2 linked regions of the Arabidopsis thaliana genome follow. The protein of the gene in region 2 interacts with the protein of the main gene of each other region in a pairwise test. Each region holds a gene or a part of one and is shown on either strand. Other genes may lie near its edges.

The links. Proteins that work in one complex are often made in the same cells at the same time.
Region 1: the proteins of UBC36 (region 2) and AT1G28120 interact in a two-hybrid assay, tested with the Arabidopsis thaliana proteins (one large-scale study listed by BioGRID).

What each region holds. Positions count from the first base shown.
Region 1 is NC_003070.9:9,810,465-9,819,057, forward strand, and holds AT1G28120 (ubiquitin thioesterase otubain-like protein), read right to left. Parts: upstream 5,097-8,593; 5' UTR 4,929-5,096; intron 4,727-4,928; 5' UTR 4,680-4,726; coding exon 4,524-4,679; intron 4,394-4,523; coding exon 4,328-4,393; intron 4,249-4,327; coding exon 4,165-4,248; intron 4,032-4,164; coding exon 3,909-4,031; intron 3,812-3,908; coding exon 3,759-3,811; intron 3,613-3,758; coding exon 3,563-3,612; intron 3,490-3,562; coding exon 3,389-3,489; intron 3,125-3,388; coding exon 2,861-3,124; intron 2,779-2,860; coding exon 2,755-2,778; 3' UTR 2,466-2,754; downstream 1-2,465. UniProt on the Arabidopsis thaliana protein: Hydrolase that can remove conjugated ubiquitin from proteins in vitro and may therefore play an important regulatory role at the level of protein turnover by preventing degradation.
Region 2 is NC_003070.9:5,773,490-5,781,849, forward strand, and holds UBC36 (ubiquitin-conjugating enzyme 36), read right to left. Parts: upstream 4,996-8,360; 5' UTR 4,839-4,995; coding exon 4,803-4,838; exon of another isoform or gene 4,601-4,802; coding exon 4,546-4,600; intron 4,450-4,545; coding exon 4,363-4,449; intron 4,340-4,362; exon of another isoform or gene 3,984-4,339; coding exon 3,925-3,983; exon of another isoform or gene 3,632-3,924; coding exon 3,590-3,631; intron 3,478-3,589; coding exon 3,404-3,477; intron 3,296-3,403; coding exon 3,198-3,295; intron 3,099-3,197; coding exon 3,061-3,098; 3' UTR 2,688-3,060; downstream 1-2,687. Other genes in the region: ACR11 (uridylyltransferase-like protein), read left to right, coding at 307-461, 843-888, 975-1,112, 1,244-1,338, 1,480-1,564, 1,661-1,720, 2,051-2,106, 2,215-2,320 and 2 more; EBS3 (Alg9-like mannosyltransferase family), read right to left, coding at 5,773-5,904, 5,993-6,082, 6,176-6,372, 6,545-6,683, 6,784-6,895, 7,043-7,338, 7,472-7,689, 7,903-8,062 and 1 more. UniProt on the Arabidopsis thaliana protein: Catalyzes the synthesis of non-canonical poly-ubiquitin chains that are linked through 'Lys-63'. This type of poly-ubiquitination does not lead to protein degradation by the proteasome. Mediates transcriptional activation of target genes.

The DNA.
Region 1 (8,593 bases), 4.0 Mb from region 2:
AACTTGCTCATCATGATCGCATATCAAAATTTGTGCTGTGGGGAAAATTTTATATGAATAACCATTTTGTTGGGAACTGAAAACAGAGAAAAAAAATGAAAAAGGGAAAGAGACAGAGTCCATTTGGTCTGAAACTCAAAAACAACTTTTGCCTTTATGGGTTGGCTAAAGGAGTGGGAATGGCCCATCCCCACCCTCTCACGTCTTGTCTCTTGTATCCCTATTTTCTCATTATCCTCTTAATAATTACAAATGGAATTGGAAACACTAACTAATCTGACCCTTTGTTTGTGTCTTCTTCTCTTGTTTTCTTGTCCCAATGTCTTTTGGCCTATATTCACTTATTGTGAACAATTATTAGTTTACTTAAAGTTCATTTAAACTTTTGACTCTCCATCGTTAGTTGTATGTTAAACATGTAGGGATTAGATAACCTACGTTAAGGTAATTATATGATCAAAACAAAACTATAGCATGACTTATGATATGATTACTAAAGAAAGGTACCCCAACCAAGTGTGTTACTCTTGTACAATTGAATGTGATTATTCCCACTCGCAGAGATATTTGGGTTTTATATGTTCTTACTTAGTAAACTTATATATGATTATAAGTTAAACTAATACTGATTCAAACAATCCTAATGTTTATTCTAACCCTAAATAAATAAATAACGCTATTTAATCTATATATAGTTTTCCCAACCTGTTTTCCCATATCCATATCAAGAACCAAGATCCAATACACCTTTTAAAGCCCTACTTAAAGTATAGAAAATATTGGTTTCTGTTTTCAAAAATATTATGTAAGAGGAAGAGAAAGATAGAGGGGTAGGTCAAAAGGAAAAAAAAGGCTTTGAATTTTTAATGTAACATTGAAACGGTAACAAGTGTATGTGTCTTTTTTGTATGGTAGTAGTGTTGGGAATTGTTAAATCGAAGAGAGAACATGCATGCATATGAATAAAAATAACAAAAATAGTTAATAATTTAGTGTGTTTGTTAGAGATGATTAATCGGCCCTCTAAGCCATCTAAGTGCATCTCATGTCAACCTTTCTTTCATATGGCGTGTGACTTTGACCCTTTTTATAACTACTAGTTTCGGTCTTCTTGGATTCAAGTTCCCTTTGAATAGTTCAGTTAAAGGAACTATAGTGCCAAGTTTGATTTTGATTTCATTTGGATATACATGGATTCTCTTCGTTACGTGACAAGCTTCCAAAGAAGAAAGTGACAAACAATAAAGGACGTATACATACACTATGCCCTCTGATTCTCTACAGTATAGTCTTTAGATGGTTGTGACAAAAAGGAAAATAAATACGGATTGACACTAACACTTAGAGCATGTCCATTGCAGGGACCTTACAAGTTTCTTAAGAGAATCCTAATGAAAAGAAGCAAAAAAATAAATCAAAATTGACTAATTAACCAAGGTGCGAACCTTGAATAAGGTATTTTTGGGTGAGTAAGGTTCGCTGACGTGGCACTATATCATTGGAGGACCAATAAAACAAAACAAGTTTTTTTCCTTTTTTCTTTCTCTCCTCTCTCTTGGTTTCGTATAGAGTTTCTGAGCTTTGGTTTATGTTCAAATTTGTGTTTGATCTGTTGGTTTTTAAGATAAAAATGTGACCCTTTTGCTGCTTATTCACTTCTCATTAGCATTACAACGGATTGGTGACACAAAATAATTGGTTCTAGGTTTATGTTTATGCTCTTTTGTTTGCTCATTTAGTTGATGTTATCAAATAATTGGTTCTAGGTACGTGCTTTCATTTAAGTTCATGACAGTGTCTTGAGCTGGAGATAGATTATTCTATGTTCTTCCTTTGGTGACAATTTCATTAATAGACCTCTCATCTCGGACTTTAGTTTCCTCTTGGAAGCCTTTTGATTTGTATTCTTTTTTTCTTTTTTTTTGCTTTTATGTCATCATATATGTTTACAATTTGTAATATTTTCTAATAACTTTTAAGTTTTATCAAATAAATTATTTTAAAAATATTTTTGCTTTTTAAAGAAATTTTCATAAGGACTCCACCATTGGATAACAAAAAATTTAGAGACTCAACAAAAACTCTAAACTTTAAAATTACCAAAATATATTATTAAAAAATGTTAAGGATTTTTTATAAGGATTCAATCAATGGGCATGCTCTTATCTTTTGGTTTCTTCTTGTTACATCGTTTTTGGGGGTTCCAAATATTTACAAGACTTAATATAATCCATTTAGACTGCTCAAAACCACTATCCACCATGAGCCAACTCGTGTAGCCCGCATTATTTTAGCATCAACATTTGTAGCCTTAACTCGTCTCATGGTAGGGTAATTTATGCCCAATCCACGGGTTCTCGACCCAATCGACACTCAAAAATAATAGTCCAAAGGGTTTGCATTTCTTTGTCGTCACTTTTCTATATTTTAAAAAAATATTCAAGTTTAAGATTTTAGTCAGGCCATTAAAACAAACTTAGAACTCTGCCATTGGTAATATCGAAAACCCTTTGATTCCACTTGCTCATCAGAAATATCATAAAGGATATTATCATGATTCATGAAAAATACAAGGCAATATCAAAGTAAAGAGACGGTCCATTCTATAGTGTTGCAAAAAGGGTTCTTTTATCATAATCAAAATGCAAATCGATGGGGTAATTGTTGATTGTTCCATGGTTTCATCCACATGAATCCATATTACCACAGTTTTTTGTAAACGTCTCCTAATGCGATTTACGATATGTCAAATGATCATTTCCCCACATTGTCTGATACCTGTAACAACACAATCATTAAATTTAATCCACGTCGAATCTAAAAGGAAGAGAGGTCATATGGCGATTTCGTGTTTATATACCTTACAAGATGGCTTGGGGTAGAGGATATCGTAATGGCCTGGACGATACAGCAAGGTTATAAATGGAGCAGAAGCTTCTTCATCTTTCTCATTGGTAATGCCCACAGGAACAAAGTCATGATGATTCACAGTGACGCCCCCACTATCACATGAGCTACGGTCAAGATACACAACACGGATTGCAACACCAAGTGCGTCCGACAAAGCAGTTATGTGAATATGGTCACTCTCTTCCCCCATTGGTTCGACCGAGGACTTGCAAAACTATAACAATGTAGTGTTAATATCTTGCATTCACCTATGCTCTAATAATCTATGAGGAGGTATTCAGAACTTTCAACAGAATCTTTAGTTTAAACATAAGTGCAAGAGACTTAACGTCTCACAACGCTGACTAATCAGAGATAAAGCAAGCAAGTTTGGAAGGACATTAAAATTGACAGAGATATCACAGAGACGGAAAAATAAAATTTCAAACATATCACCAAATGGCCTGAATTCCAAAACAGAGTAAGCGTGTGTACAAACCTGATCCACTGTTGCATTTGATAAGCCTGTTATAAAAGGCTCGAAAAAATCGGCACGCGTTCGTATATCACCAGCAGTAACAAACCTAAAGAACATTACAACTGAGACAACAAAAATTTGTCAAAACTATGTACCATTGGATATGCATCGCCAGAGAAAATTAGAGTAACTTACTGTAATCTGAGACTGACTGATCTCTACTTCTGTTAACCAGCTCATCGTAGCTGTAAGAGAAAGATATTTGCAAAAAGGATGAGATACAACGAGAAGAGACTTGTGCCATTTCATGAAAGTCAGAACTTATCCACACGAAAACAGAAATCAAAATTAAATGCCAATTAAAAAGCCATCTGGATAAACAGTTCTCTACCTTATAGACTCTTCAGTTCCTTGGAGAATGTCATCTAGTTGCTCAAGGAACAACTGTATTTTCAAGAAAGATGAAATTGAGTATTGGTGGTGATCTTACCAGATTTAAAAAGCAGACACAATAGAAAACAGAAAAAGGTGGTCGATTTACCGCAAAGAAGTCCTCAAATGTAAAATCTGTATAACCTAAGTTTTGCAGAGTCTTTCTACATTTCTCAACATTGACCTTGATACGATCGACTTCAGCACGATCTTGTGATTCCAATATATGCTCCTACGAAACAAAGCAGAGAAAACAACAGCAACTTTAACTAAAGATACAATCCACGTCTAACCAAAATAACAAAGTTCAAAACCAACTACACAAACAAGAGCTAGGCAAAATAGAAGACATTCTGAGAACATACAAGGTAAGAGAACATAAAACTTCGGAAGAAGCAATTTCCATCTCCTCTTGTTCGCCGGATTCCGATATATTGACTGTCCAGTATCTACAAGCATTGCAAACATGATAATTCAAAAAGACTGAAAGCAACAAACCACGAAAAAGATAACAGAGCAGAAAGTAACCTTAATCTTCTCCAGCAAAATGGGACTCCCTGATTGATACTCTGCAGCTAAACTAGACAGAGGTTCCTGCACATCATTGAACCAAAACAATCAACCTTTTTAACTTCTTTCGATAAATAAACAGAGCAAGATAACACGTAGAAGCCAAAAAACGAATAATATGAAACAGAAGATCAATTTTAATATTGGCTCTGACCTTATCACCAACATAAGGAACTTTAGCAGCTTCTTCTTCTTGAAAAGATGGTTGATCTTCCACTGATGAACAATTTCCCCATTCTTCACCCTTAATTGCTGAAATCGATGCAGCTACTTCCGCTTCATCCTTCACCATATCAATCTGATTCTGCATCTTCACTACTTCACTAAACTCTCTTCCTAGCTTATTATTAGCTTGATCTACAAACACACAATTCAAATCCGATTTGAAACAAACGACTCAAGATTCTATCAACTGATCCTCAATTCAACGATAATTCAATCTGAATACTGATAACGAGTTTGTTGATCAACAATTCACAAATCTGACAATCAAACAAATACGAATCCAAGAATCTTAAGATAAGGAGAGAAACGGGGAAATCGATGGCGGAGGATTTACCAGAAACGAAGATCGATTGAAGAAAAGATTGGATTGTGAATAATTGAGATCGTTTGCGACCTAAATTGAAGCAGGTTGGGACTTGGGAACCAACACTAAGCAATGGGGAAGGAGGAAGAGTGATGATGATGAAAAAGATTTCTCAAATCGGGGAAACCATCAATTTTGATTGGAGGGGTATAAATGGTAAGATACGTTTCGCTTTTTCCCAAAGTACTTAATTTTTTATATTTAATTTTTTATTTTTCTCTACACGAATCAGGAAAAAAGTCGAATCGTTTTTGGACCATAAAAAGTTAAAATGACGGTAGAGCTTAAAATGGGCCTAAATATTTTGGCCCAACAATAATCTGAACTTTGCTTAGTCACTAGAGTTTTGTTTTCTTTTTCTTTACAAACTGACCATAAACAAAGTGAATCAAAACTACCTAATTTATTAAGATAAACGATTTGTTTGTTTATCAAAACTACGTAATTTATCAAGATAAACAATAAACAAAGGAGATGACAAAAAAAAAAAAAAAATTAACAAAGGAAGTTTACCAAAAAGTATTTCAATAGTAAAAAATGATTTTAAAACAAAATAAAAATTGACAAATAAAAACATTAACTAATTAAACACTTCAAATTTTAGAAAGAGATCCATCAAGCCAAGAGTACAAATATTTGTCTTAAAATAAGAAGTCGAAAGAGTTGAATAACCATTCATATTATTTTTTAATATTTGAGATAAATAAGTTGGAAAACTCATTCAACACATTTAACCAAAAACAATACAAAAAATAATATATATATATATAGAAAATTTGTTCAACTTATCCTACTATATTATTTGGGAAGTACATTTTAAATGTAACCTTAACTTTTATAAGTAATTACATAGGTATGCCATTAGAAATAAAATTTTAAAGAGTAAATTAATTTATCTCTTTAAGGATTAAAAAGTCAAATACTAATTTAATTAATTAAATTTAATTAAAAAACGAAATATATTATTATTTTCCAAAAATAATAACCAATCAAAATCAACATATAAGATTTGATATCTAAATTTTAATTAATTTAATTTAATTAGAAAAACGAAATACATTATTAATTTCCAAAAAAGTAACCAATTAAAATCAACAAATTAGATTTGATATCTAAATTATCATATTAATTTTTTATTAATTATTATAGTTCACTTCTCATCTTTATATGATTCTATTTTTGCCGAAAAATAATATCATCATTATAAAAAAATAATTAGAGTTTTTTCGCATATGCCATATTTTGAATTTTTAAAAACGAATATAAACTATTCAATACATGAAAAAATATTATAACGGAAGAAAAATAGATTTAAGAAAACTTTCTACTGAGTAACGGATCATAATTTGAAATATTTCTATTCAATTTCACACATATTATAATGAAAATTTATAATCTTATATACTACAGTAATTAATAACATATTAGATGTGATTCAATTTTTAATACAAGCTGAAAAATCCTAGAATTGACGGGTTTAGATCGATATTAATACAAGATGATATACTACATGTGAAACTCTTAAATTAACAATCAAACTACAAGTGTATAATCTTAAACACTAAACAATATAGATAATATCAACAAAATATATACAACTCACAGATTACTATACATTTAAAATCAAATAAAATAATATCATATATATTTAAATCATCTTTACAATAAAAGTTTTTAGTTTAACTAAAGTATAAGCCTACCTGCGGTATACTGCAGGTTAATAACTAGATTATAGGGCTTATTGGATCTAAAGACGGGTCATCAAAGATTTCCTAAACTGAAGCAAAATATACTGAATATTCAAATATCTATCTGTTACCAAATTATAAACAAATAAGTTCGTAAAACAATTTAATATTTTATATACGAAATCAATTAAATCTTAATCACATAAAAATTAGCACAAAAAAAAGTATTCAATAATTAAAAAATTATCAAATCTCTGTGTTATATAAGTTTTGATACTATATTCGAATAAAGTGTAATATACCTTTTCAATTTGTATTATTTAACTAATTTAAGCTAACTAATATAGTTGCTAATCTTATACCTATCAAAACCGACTATCGTTTCTTATCTCTATAGTATTTTTGCAAGATTTTTTTGGTGGATTTGGATAAAAGTGCATTCGGGTCATATGGTACAGTCTCCTATTAAATAAATATGGTGCACTCATTTGTTATTAGCTAAAATATTTAGATTATAATTCAGAGTCATATCATTAATAAAATAAATGGCTTTTTGGCAAGACGGATTTGGATGGACGGGTTTTTGAATCAACATTAATAAAAAAGTAAAATATAATTAATCCACAATTTCAATACGGATTAAATCTTTAATTTATTATATTTTAAGACCACTAATATTAAACATATCAAATCATCCTAATTTAGAAAAGGTTATATAAAACCAAAAATGTTATGTGGTATGTATAATGTTATTATATATAAAATTAAACTATAAAATATAAATGTATTAGAAAATGATACAATTTGCAAAACTTTTATATATAAAAAATAATTCTTAAATTTTAAAAATTACTATTTTAAAAAAAATTACGGGACGGGTAAAAAAATTACAGAACGGGTTTTATTTTGGAATTGGGTTATATGGTAGATGTATTTGAATCAATATTTATAAAATTTTAAAATATGTTTAATATGCTGTTTTAATAGGGGTTAAAACTTCAAATTTTTAACAATTGTCTCATGGATTCGTGGTATAGCGTTACTTAATAACAATTATAAACTGTAAAATATAAATATTTTATAAAATTAAAATTTACAAGTTTTAATATATATTACTTTAAAAAAATAAATTGTCCCGCGGTATATCGCGGGTTAAAATCTAGTTCATCTACTATTTTGTAGAGGAATGAGCAGAATAATGTCCAATTTTTTGTTCAGATTAATTTTTTCCAATCATTTATCTACATGCAACTATTTGCACCTTTTTTTTTCTACGTAATTATATGCTATGTTCAACAGTCTATCAAATATCAAAAGAAACGTGAAGACTAGAAGTTTTCGGTCAGATTTGCGACTTTCATAAATATCATATCAACATAATTTCTGTTCTAGGAAAAGATATCGGTGATAGGATTAAATTTTAATTGGTAAAAACTTCGGTTTAGCGATTTTTATTTATATTTTTTTTGTTTTCTAAAAATATAATTATAGCTGACATATGTAATTTCATCTCTTTTTGATAAATTTCATTAGACGAAAGAAAGTACACTTAAACTTTGACATAAAAATGTGATCGCGATGTGTGGATGTTTATCTAAATATAATTGTTGCGATTAGACAGTTGACAAGAAGGAGATTTCTCTTTCTTTTTTGTGTGGCTTTAGAAGTTTTCCAATACCCTAACGTTAGTTTTCAAAATCACCAGATTGTGTTTTTTTCCAATTCTAGCAAAACATGCATACATATAACACGATCACGTTTAGACATGATTAGGATAGTTGTTATTTTTTTGAATATGATAACTGATGAGGATAGTTTGTGGAGTTTTACGACTAATTATACAGTTAGACGACGAGCTTGAAAATCTGGATGGTTTCGTCTCTTAGTTTGTGTGATTGTGTAGAACTTCAGTTCATTTCTAATATTTTATTATAAAAAGAAAGAAAG
Region 2 (8,360 bases):
GAAGAATTTGTCGAATTGTGTACTTTTTTAAATTTTAAAAGAAGACAATATTTGGTGGAATTTAAAAAGAAAATGTAAAAGTAGGCAAGGAAAGGGAAAGCAAGAGAAATGGCGATCTAACGTTGAAGATAATAAGAAGGACGAAACGGGCATTTTTTTTTTGTGTGTGTGTGTCACATCTTTTTTATTATCCTCTCATGGCGGATAACACGAGACCTGTCCAAAGGCTCTTCTTCTTCTTCGTCATCACTACTACTACTCCTCTCTAACGTTTTCCTCATTCTTCTTAATTCCGATTTTTGAGTGATGGCTATGGCCTCTGCTTCTGGTTCTGCTCTTTGCTTCACTGATGCTTCTAGCTCTCTTGCTTTAAGACGCGATTGTGGAGCTCTTTGCTTGCCTCCTAGGACAGTTACGTTTGGATTTGTCGATAAACCTCTTGTCAATCTCGAGCGATTAAGGTTTTTGTTTTTTGGCTATCTCTTGATGCCTTCTTGAGAATTTGAATTCGAGCTTCTTTTGGATTGCTTTTTCGATTGTGATCTTAGTTTTGTGCTGATTCGAGTTTCATGAAGTAAATACTGTTTCCGAAACAAATTCTTTTGTAGTGAATTTTCTCCACAGATCTCTAAATCCTTAAAAAGCATCTGATACCTTTTTTTAACGATTATCAGAATTTTGTGTTCCGAGTTGCTAATCTTTTTAAAATGTCCAAATGATTTTATTGCTGGTTATAAATTCGTATCTTTTGCTGGAATTCGATTCAAAGCACAGATTGTTTTGAGCTGATCTTCTACGGATTCAAATACTTCAATTCAATTCTTTTTTTTTTTTTTCTTCAGATTATCCACTTTGAAGATTAGAGCATCAAATGCTACTGCTGTGGAGGTATGAAAATGAAATGATTACACAAGGACACTAGTAATTTGAATAGACTTTTTAAAGTTTATATGTTTTTGTTTTTGATTTTGAAGAATGGAAAGCAAGAAGGAAGTGCTGCTGATTCTGATAAAGTTCCAACTCCAGTTGTTATAATCGACCAAGATTCTGACCCTGATGCAACCGTTCTTGAAGTTACATTCGGAGATCGTCTTGGAGCTTTACTTGACACTGTAAGGAAGGATACCTTCTTCTTACTCACTTGTTGCTAGCTCTGCATAATCGACCAACATTCACAAAAGCTTCTTACTTCCTTTCCTGCTTTTTTGACTGCTTCTTGATCTGATCAACTTTGCCCTTCTAGATGAATGCGCTCAAAAACTTGGGATTGAATGTCGTCAAGGCAAATGTTTACCTTGATTCTTCCGGCAAGCACAACAAATTTGCCATTACTAGAGCGTATGTCTTTTCATATCATCAAAGAGTATTTTGAGCTCCAAGAGTCGTTTAGATAGTTAATGTTGCTTTGAATCGATTGACTCTGTCAAATAGTTGACTTTAGATTGAGTTTTGAGCTGACTGTAATTGTTGTTACAACAGAGATAGTGGAAGAAAAGTAGAAGACCCTGAATTGCTTGAGGCCATTCGTCTCACAGTCATAAACAATCTGCTTGAGTTTCATCCTGTAACTACTTCACATCCTAATATCCTCTCTTTCTATTTTTCCTATATCTTGCATAATTTTTTAACTCACACATTGCTTCTCGATGATTTGGATCAGGAATCAAGTTCTCAGTTGGCAATGGGAGCAGCTTTTGGTGTTCTTCCTCCAACTGAACCGGTAAAAACCTTAAACTGTGATGCTCTTTTTATAACCTTATCCACTTCTTTTGTATTGCACTAATTCTTCAAGTAGTTAGCATCCTCGAACATAAAGGTCAAGACTGCTTGTCGTTTCCTCGGTCACGTACAGATAAGAAACAATAATAGAGAAAACAAAGACTTAACTAATAATCAACATATTTGGATTTGGCGGGTCAATGTAGAGTACAAGTATTAAACTTCATTATAGTATTAATCACTTTGATGAAGAAGGGAATACCCACGCAACTTCAAAGTAGCTTCAAAATTCATTTTCCTTCTTCTGTATTTTGGATTGGGATGTTGACAGATTGACGTGGACATAGCAACACATATAACCATTGAAGATGATGGACCAGACCGCAGGTAATGTATACCCATACCTTATCTCAACTCTAGAACCTTATCCAAATGCTTTTATTCTTATGATATATGATCTGATCATTGATCCATAATTATTTGTTGATGATGCAGTTTACTCTTCATAGAATCAGCGGATAGACCTGGACTATTAGTTGAGCTGGTGAAGATCATTTCAGATATCAGCGTCGCTGTTGAATCTGGAGAATTCGACACCGAGGTATCTAATAATCCTGTTTTTTAATGTCTAAAACATATACCCTCCGCTATAATATCGCTCTGTTTCTCATGTTGCTTCTTCTTGTTGTATGTGAAACAAAAAGGGTTTGTTGGCTAAGGTGAAGTTTCATGTAAGCTACAGGAACAAAGCCCTAATCAAGCCTCTCCAGCAGGTTAAAATTCTGAAATTAGACTTTTCTCTTTGATAAGTTGAAATGTTTTTACTGAAATGAAATCAAATTTTGTATTTGTAGGTCCTTGCTAATAGTCTGAGGTACTTCTTGAGGCGTCCATCAACTGACGAGTCAAGTTTCTGATTATGCCCATTTTTCAAAATCTCAAGTCTCATTCCTCGTGACTACTATTTTTACCACTTTTTTTTTTTTTTACATTTGACCAAAATAAGCTGCTTCATACACCTGTAATAGTAACATTATGCATCATTCATCCAATTTACTTTGATTCACAACCTGTGAAAATCTGATTATCTACACCACTTTATAAAGATTATTATAGAGCATATATAACAAAAACAAAGATCAAAAGCAAGCACAATTGAAGAAAGTTAGATTCCAGATATGGGTAAACGAGTCTTAGATCCCCCTAGTTATACAAATTCAGAGAGTACAAATCTTTTTCCTCTGTTTTCAGAAAAAGGATTCAGATAAAACCTTGAGATAGAGTTTCACCATATATAATGTTATTTAAATGACAATGATCTTTCTCCATTTGCAGTCTTCTTTAAGCACCACTTGCGTAAAGACGAGTCCATTCCTTAGCTGCATAAGTTCACATTGATATGAGATTACCAGATTAGAGAGGAGAGGAATAAAGTTTTTGTTGCAACTTTTTTGAGTTTTTCGATCGTATTTTATCACCTGTTTCCACAGCTTCTGCCTCATTGCTCTTCCAATGCTTAGCTATGTTCTCAGACAGAGGATCATCTGGGTTTGGTGCACTTAAAAGAGCTTGGATACTGTTTTTACACGGCAATGGAAAATCAGAAAGTGTGAATAATTAAATCTTAATTTCTACAATATTTTGGATTTAGTAGGGAAAGAAGATTCTATGGATATATTCATACCTCAAGAGCACAGTTCGTATTTGTAGTGCAGGACTCCACTTGTCTTTCAGTATGTCAAGGCAGATTCTTCCAAGCTATATATACATGATAAGTGCAAACAAAACATGATCCATAAGTATAAAAGACCATGTGTTTGGTTAGTTATCTTGACAGTAAGAGAAGAAAAGGAAATTTTTCACAACAGACCTTGTCGATGTTAGGATGGTAAATCTTGGTGAGAAACCTAACCTGTGTTTCAAATGATATCATCAATAAGACCCATAAACTCTACATCAATGAAGAAACTTGGATACGTTGTCTAATATAATATAAGAAAATACATTCGGAGTAGTCATAACAAAACCAAAATCACCAATCTCATAAACCCATAAATAAAATCCTAGTGTTAAGAGTAGAGAGACATTCACTTAAAGAGCATTTACCTCCACTTAACAATGTTATGTGGGGTAATCCTAATGTTACCAAAACAAGTGAAACATGAAATGAAAGAAGAAAAACACACAAAAGTTGAAGCAACTTACCTTGGGAGCTGCCATAGGATATTCTTCAGGCAAAAAGAGCTCCAACTTGAAAACTCCTCCTACAGATTGAGAAGGAAACAAAATTATTGGTAAACATCAATTAACAGAAATATGATGATAGATAAAACAGCAGACTTGATTCTGGAAATTCGACTTGGCATTGTGTATTCTAGAACAAATAAAATGTGTCGAAATGAACTCAAAGGTAGCTTAAAGACTCATCGTTATTCATAACACTACAATCCGAACATGAGCAATCTATGAGACCTAGTAGTACCTAAACGAACATATCCGTTTGTATAAACAAATATAGAGACAGAGCAGAGTCACTACTTGCAGCAGAAACGATAACGATAAATCGTTGAGCAGCATGCATTAAAGAAGAAAAAGGAAGAAGTAACGATGAGCATCTTTGGGAGATTAAAACAATTTGACTACCTTCATAAGGAGATTGAGTAGGACCAAGAATCATAACATTGAAATATCTCATATTTTCCTCTGATGGAGACGCACTTATCCCAGGAGCTGCAATTTCGAAAGATATACAACTTAGAATTAAAATCAATAGTTCCAGCTACCAAAACCAACTGTTTGAGCTAAAATCAACTGTGAGAAATCAACAAGGATCGAATGAAGTGATGAAATTACCAGGTTCACTAAGCAGACGTTGAGTTTCCTATCAGATCGAAGAACAAAAAAAAGTCAGATCAAGATGACGAAGATGATATAAGATCGTACAAGCTATCGAAAATTCTTCCCAGTTCTGCTGAGGTATATAATCCGTCGGTTCCTTCTTCGGATTTCAGATTAGAATTCCCCAAAATGAAACTGAGGGGAGATACGGATCGGAGGATGCTACAGAGGATCGGAAAACTAACCTTGATGATTCGTCGGGGAAGATTACTATTGGCCATTATCGCACGCTATCGGATTCGATCGTCACAGAGAAGTTAGGGTTTTTGAGAGAGAACGAAGCTACCAAAGGCTGATAATAATCGAGTACGCTTCGTCGTCTCTAGTTTCGTGCCCCTTTGATCCTTTTAATTCTTTCTTTTTTTCCTTTACGGAAATAAATTGATGCTTTTATGCTAGTAAAAATATATAATTACATGAAATATGTAAGGAATACATTTAGTAAATAATTTTCTGTAAGTTCTCTTCCATATTCATATTCAATTTTTTTAAGAATAATTTCCATATTCAAATACTTTTTTAACCATGATTGAAAACTACTAAGAAAATAATCTTTTCTTAGTTTTGTAAACGACATGCACTATTTATTAGTCTGGTGGTAACATAGTGACAACATTATTACAAACGTCAATATACCTACCATGATCTCGATGACTCGATCAAATTTTTAGAAAAATTAATACCTTGTTTAGGTTATTCTTTTCTTCAAAGATAATCTTTTACAATATATATACACAACTTTTTTAGTTCATTATCTTCAATTCTATTGCGTTCTTCTTCTGTACCTTTTTACGACGCGTTGGTCAAACGCTAACTTAAAGAGGACAGAAATATGAATTATGAAGTGCCCTCCATAGTCTTCTCATTTTCTCCCTTTTTCTCGATAGCCAAAATTGGAATCCGCAATATCAAAAGACAAAAAGAATATAGACTTTGCACAATAATGTCATAAACATAATCTTCCACGTTCTTCTGACCATTTGGAGATTTCTTACAAAGTTAAAACTAGTCTCTTTCACAACAACACAACTACGAACCGTGAACGTACCTGAACTTAAAGCCGATACTAATCAGTTATTAGTTATTACATTCTCCCAAAACTACCCAATGAACTGAGTTAAAGCTACAAGTCTAAGGAGTTTTAACGATTTGTGATCATTTTGGGACTCTTCTCAGTGCTACGTATTTGCCAAACACATTTTTCTCCTGCCACATGTGCGGGATGAAGAACGATCTATACTTAGCTGGCGACAGCTCTCTGTCCAAATAAGGCAACACCGCAATAGCCTGAAAAAAGGGTCAAAACAACCAATTGAAGAAGTGAAGTGAAATCAAAGATGGATTCTGTTTCAGGAAGATGGTTTGATTCCTATACCTCCCATGTAGATAAGTCGCTGCCTCGATACTGATACGGTCTGCTAAGCTGCAACTCAATGAGGAATGTACAAGTTTCGATGTTCTTTAACTGGAAAAAATGGAACGAGTAAACAAGCCATGATTAAGTTTATGTTTAGAGATATTTTGAAGGTTTCATGAGAGAAGAGTGTGTGAGTATTACATATTGTTCTTCGGATGCTTGGTTCTTGTTGTTGAAGTATGGAGGTGATGCTGAAGTGCCTCCAAGTGTATTGTTAAATGGGAATGGAAGAAGACCGCGGAATCCATCATCGATCCACCGTACTTCGCTAATGTAGTGGGGCACAAAAAACGATGATGGGTATCGATGCCATTCACTTCCCACACATAGAACAGAACCTGACATACAAAACCAACCAAGAAGTCATCAGTGATTAGAAAACTTTTGTCAAAAGGACTTTGTTACCCTTTTTCCAATGGCAAATTACTATTCTTGAAGTAAAAGTGAGATGTGATCTTCACTCGTCTTAGCATTATAATGATCAAGAAGTTCAGTTCGAATTGGATATACCTGGTCCTGCATCATCATGATGCTCCAGTAGTTTGTAGACCTCCAAGGGAGCGGAATAGCCATTAATAAGAGCAAATGTGCGAGAATGTGAAGCACATAAGATACAACCAAGAATCACAGGTCGCATGTATTTGGTTATCTGCGTATTAAACAGATATGTGAGAATCGTACAATCTACTTCTTTTCAATTTGCGGAAAGGTATAAATCAGAGACTGAGATATTGTAAGTTGGAACTTACTGTCACCAGAAGACTTTCACGTGAGCTATACTTTTCCCGGAACAGCTCAGGGATGTTCTCAATAACAGCAGAAGCAGAGACACAAATAAGAGGGTATATAGGATAAAGGAACCTGCAGTCAATTAATTGACAATCAAAAACATTGTTTGTTGAATACCGTGATTTTGTAAAAGTATCATAAAACTGGTTTCCTCAACGATATAGAAGCCACCATACGAATGCTCAAAAAATTACAAGATGAAAGATCTTAGAAAATCACCTTTCTTCTTTGTGGGGCTGAAGTGACATGAACGCCAGCCAAATATACATCGGGGAAATCACAACCAGCAGGGCACGGTCATACTTCCTTCTGATAACAGGATATATTGCGACAAACAACATTGCCAAAATGAAACAGAAGTTGAAGTTGTTAAATCCATTTCTTATATAAAATAACGCTCCTTCAGTCCCATAGAGATGGCTCTCTCCACCCCCTAACACATTGTATATCAAGAGATTCAAAACTGATGATGTCCATCTCTTGTAATAATAGTAATCCACAAGTAGTGAGACTCCCTAGAAAAGAGACAAAACTAATTAGAAGAGAAAATAGTAATTTAAAGTTACAGGTGCTAATGAAAGTCAGCGAGATCCAATAATTCCCATAAAATTCACACAGACAAAGCATCTAGGATTGGTGTTAGCTTACAAGGAGAAATATAGTGGTGACTGCACCAGCGATAAATGCTTGCTTGAATCTCTTAACCAGAGAGTAAATAACGACAGGTAAAAAGGCCAAGATAGAAAATGGCCAGCCAAGAATCACCCCGACAACCGAAACTGCAACAGCCATGGCATACTTCTCGAAAAGTAATAAACCAGATGAGAGGCTTATGGCGTACATAGAAAATGAACTGGGGAGGAAACCTATCAAAATTTTAGAGAAACATGAATTAGTAAGAAACCAGAACACAAAGCCAAATTCAGAGCAATGTCTTTGGAATAACTTATACAAGCATTTGAAACTAAAACCTATCGGATGCAAGAATAACTTGGAAAGCCTATATATGCATATTAAGGAAATATGACAGAAAGCTTAAGCAAGTGTAACAACAAATCAAAACAAAACAAAACACTCACTGGTACTAGCAAAGAAGCAGCCACTGGTTAAGCAGAGCATCGCAACTGCATAGGTAGCGATACGTTTCCCATACTTTCTGGAGAGCGCAACAACCAGGACAGTATCTGAAACTGCAGAAACCAGTCCGAGAAAGAGTCTCACTGCATAGAAAACTCTAACCTATCCAAAAGATAGACGTAAACTGGATAAGAAACATGCAGTTATATCTATACCGATTAGAATGTACATCAGTAAGTATGCATTGCTTACCTTGTCATCACCAAACCACCAAGAAGCAGGCCGTCCAGCCAATTCATGGAATAGAATGTATAAGTACGACCGAAGAGCAAAGTTGGAACTGCAAAATACACACACACACACACACAAAAAAAAAAAAAGTAATCAATCTCATGATTATATCTTCATATAAAACAAAGCTCGATAACCTAATAAAGATTCCGTTGAAACCGAAGTTCCA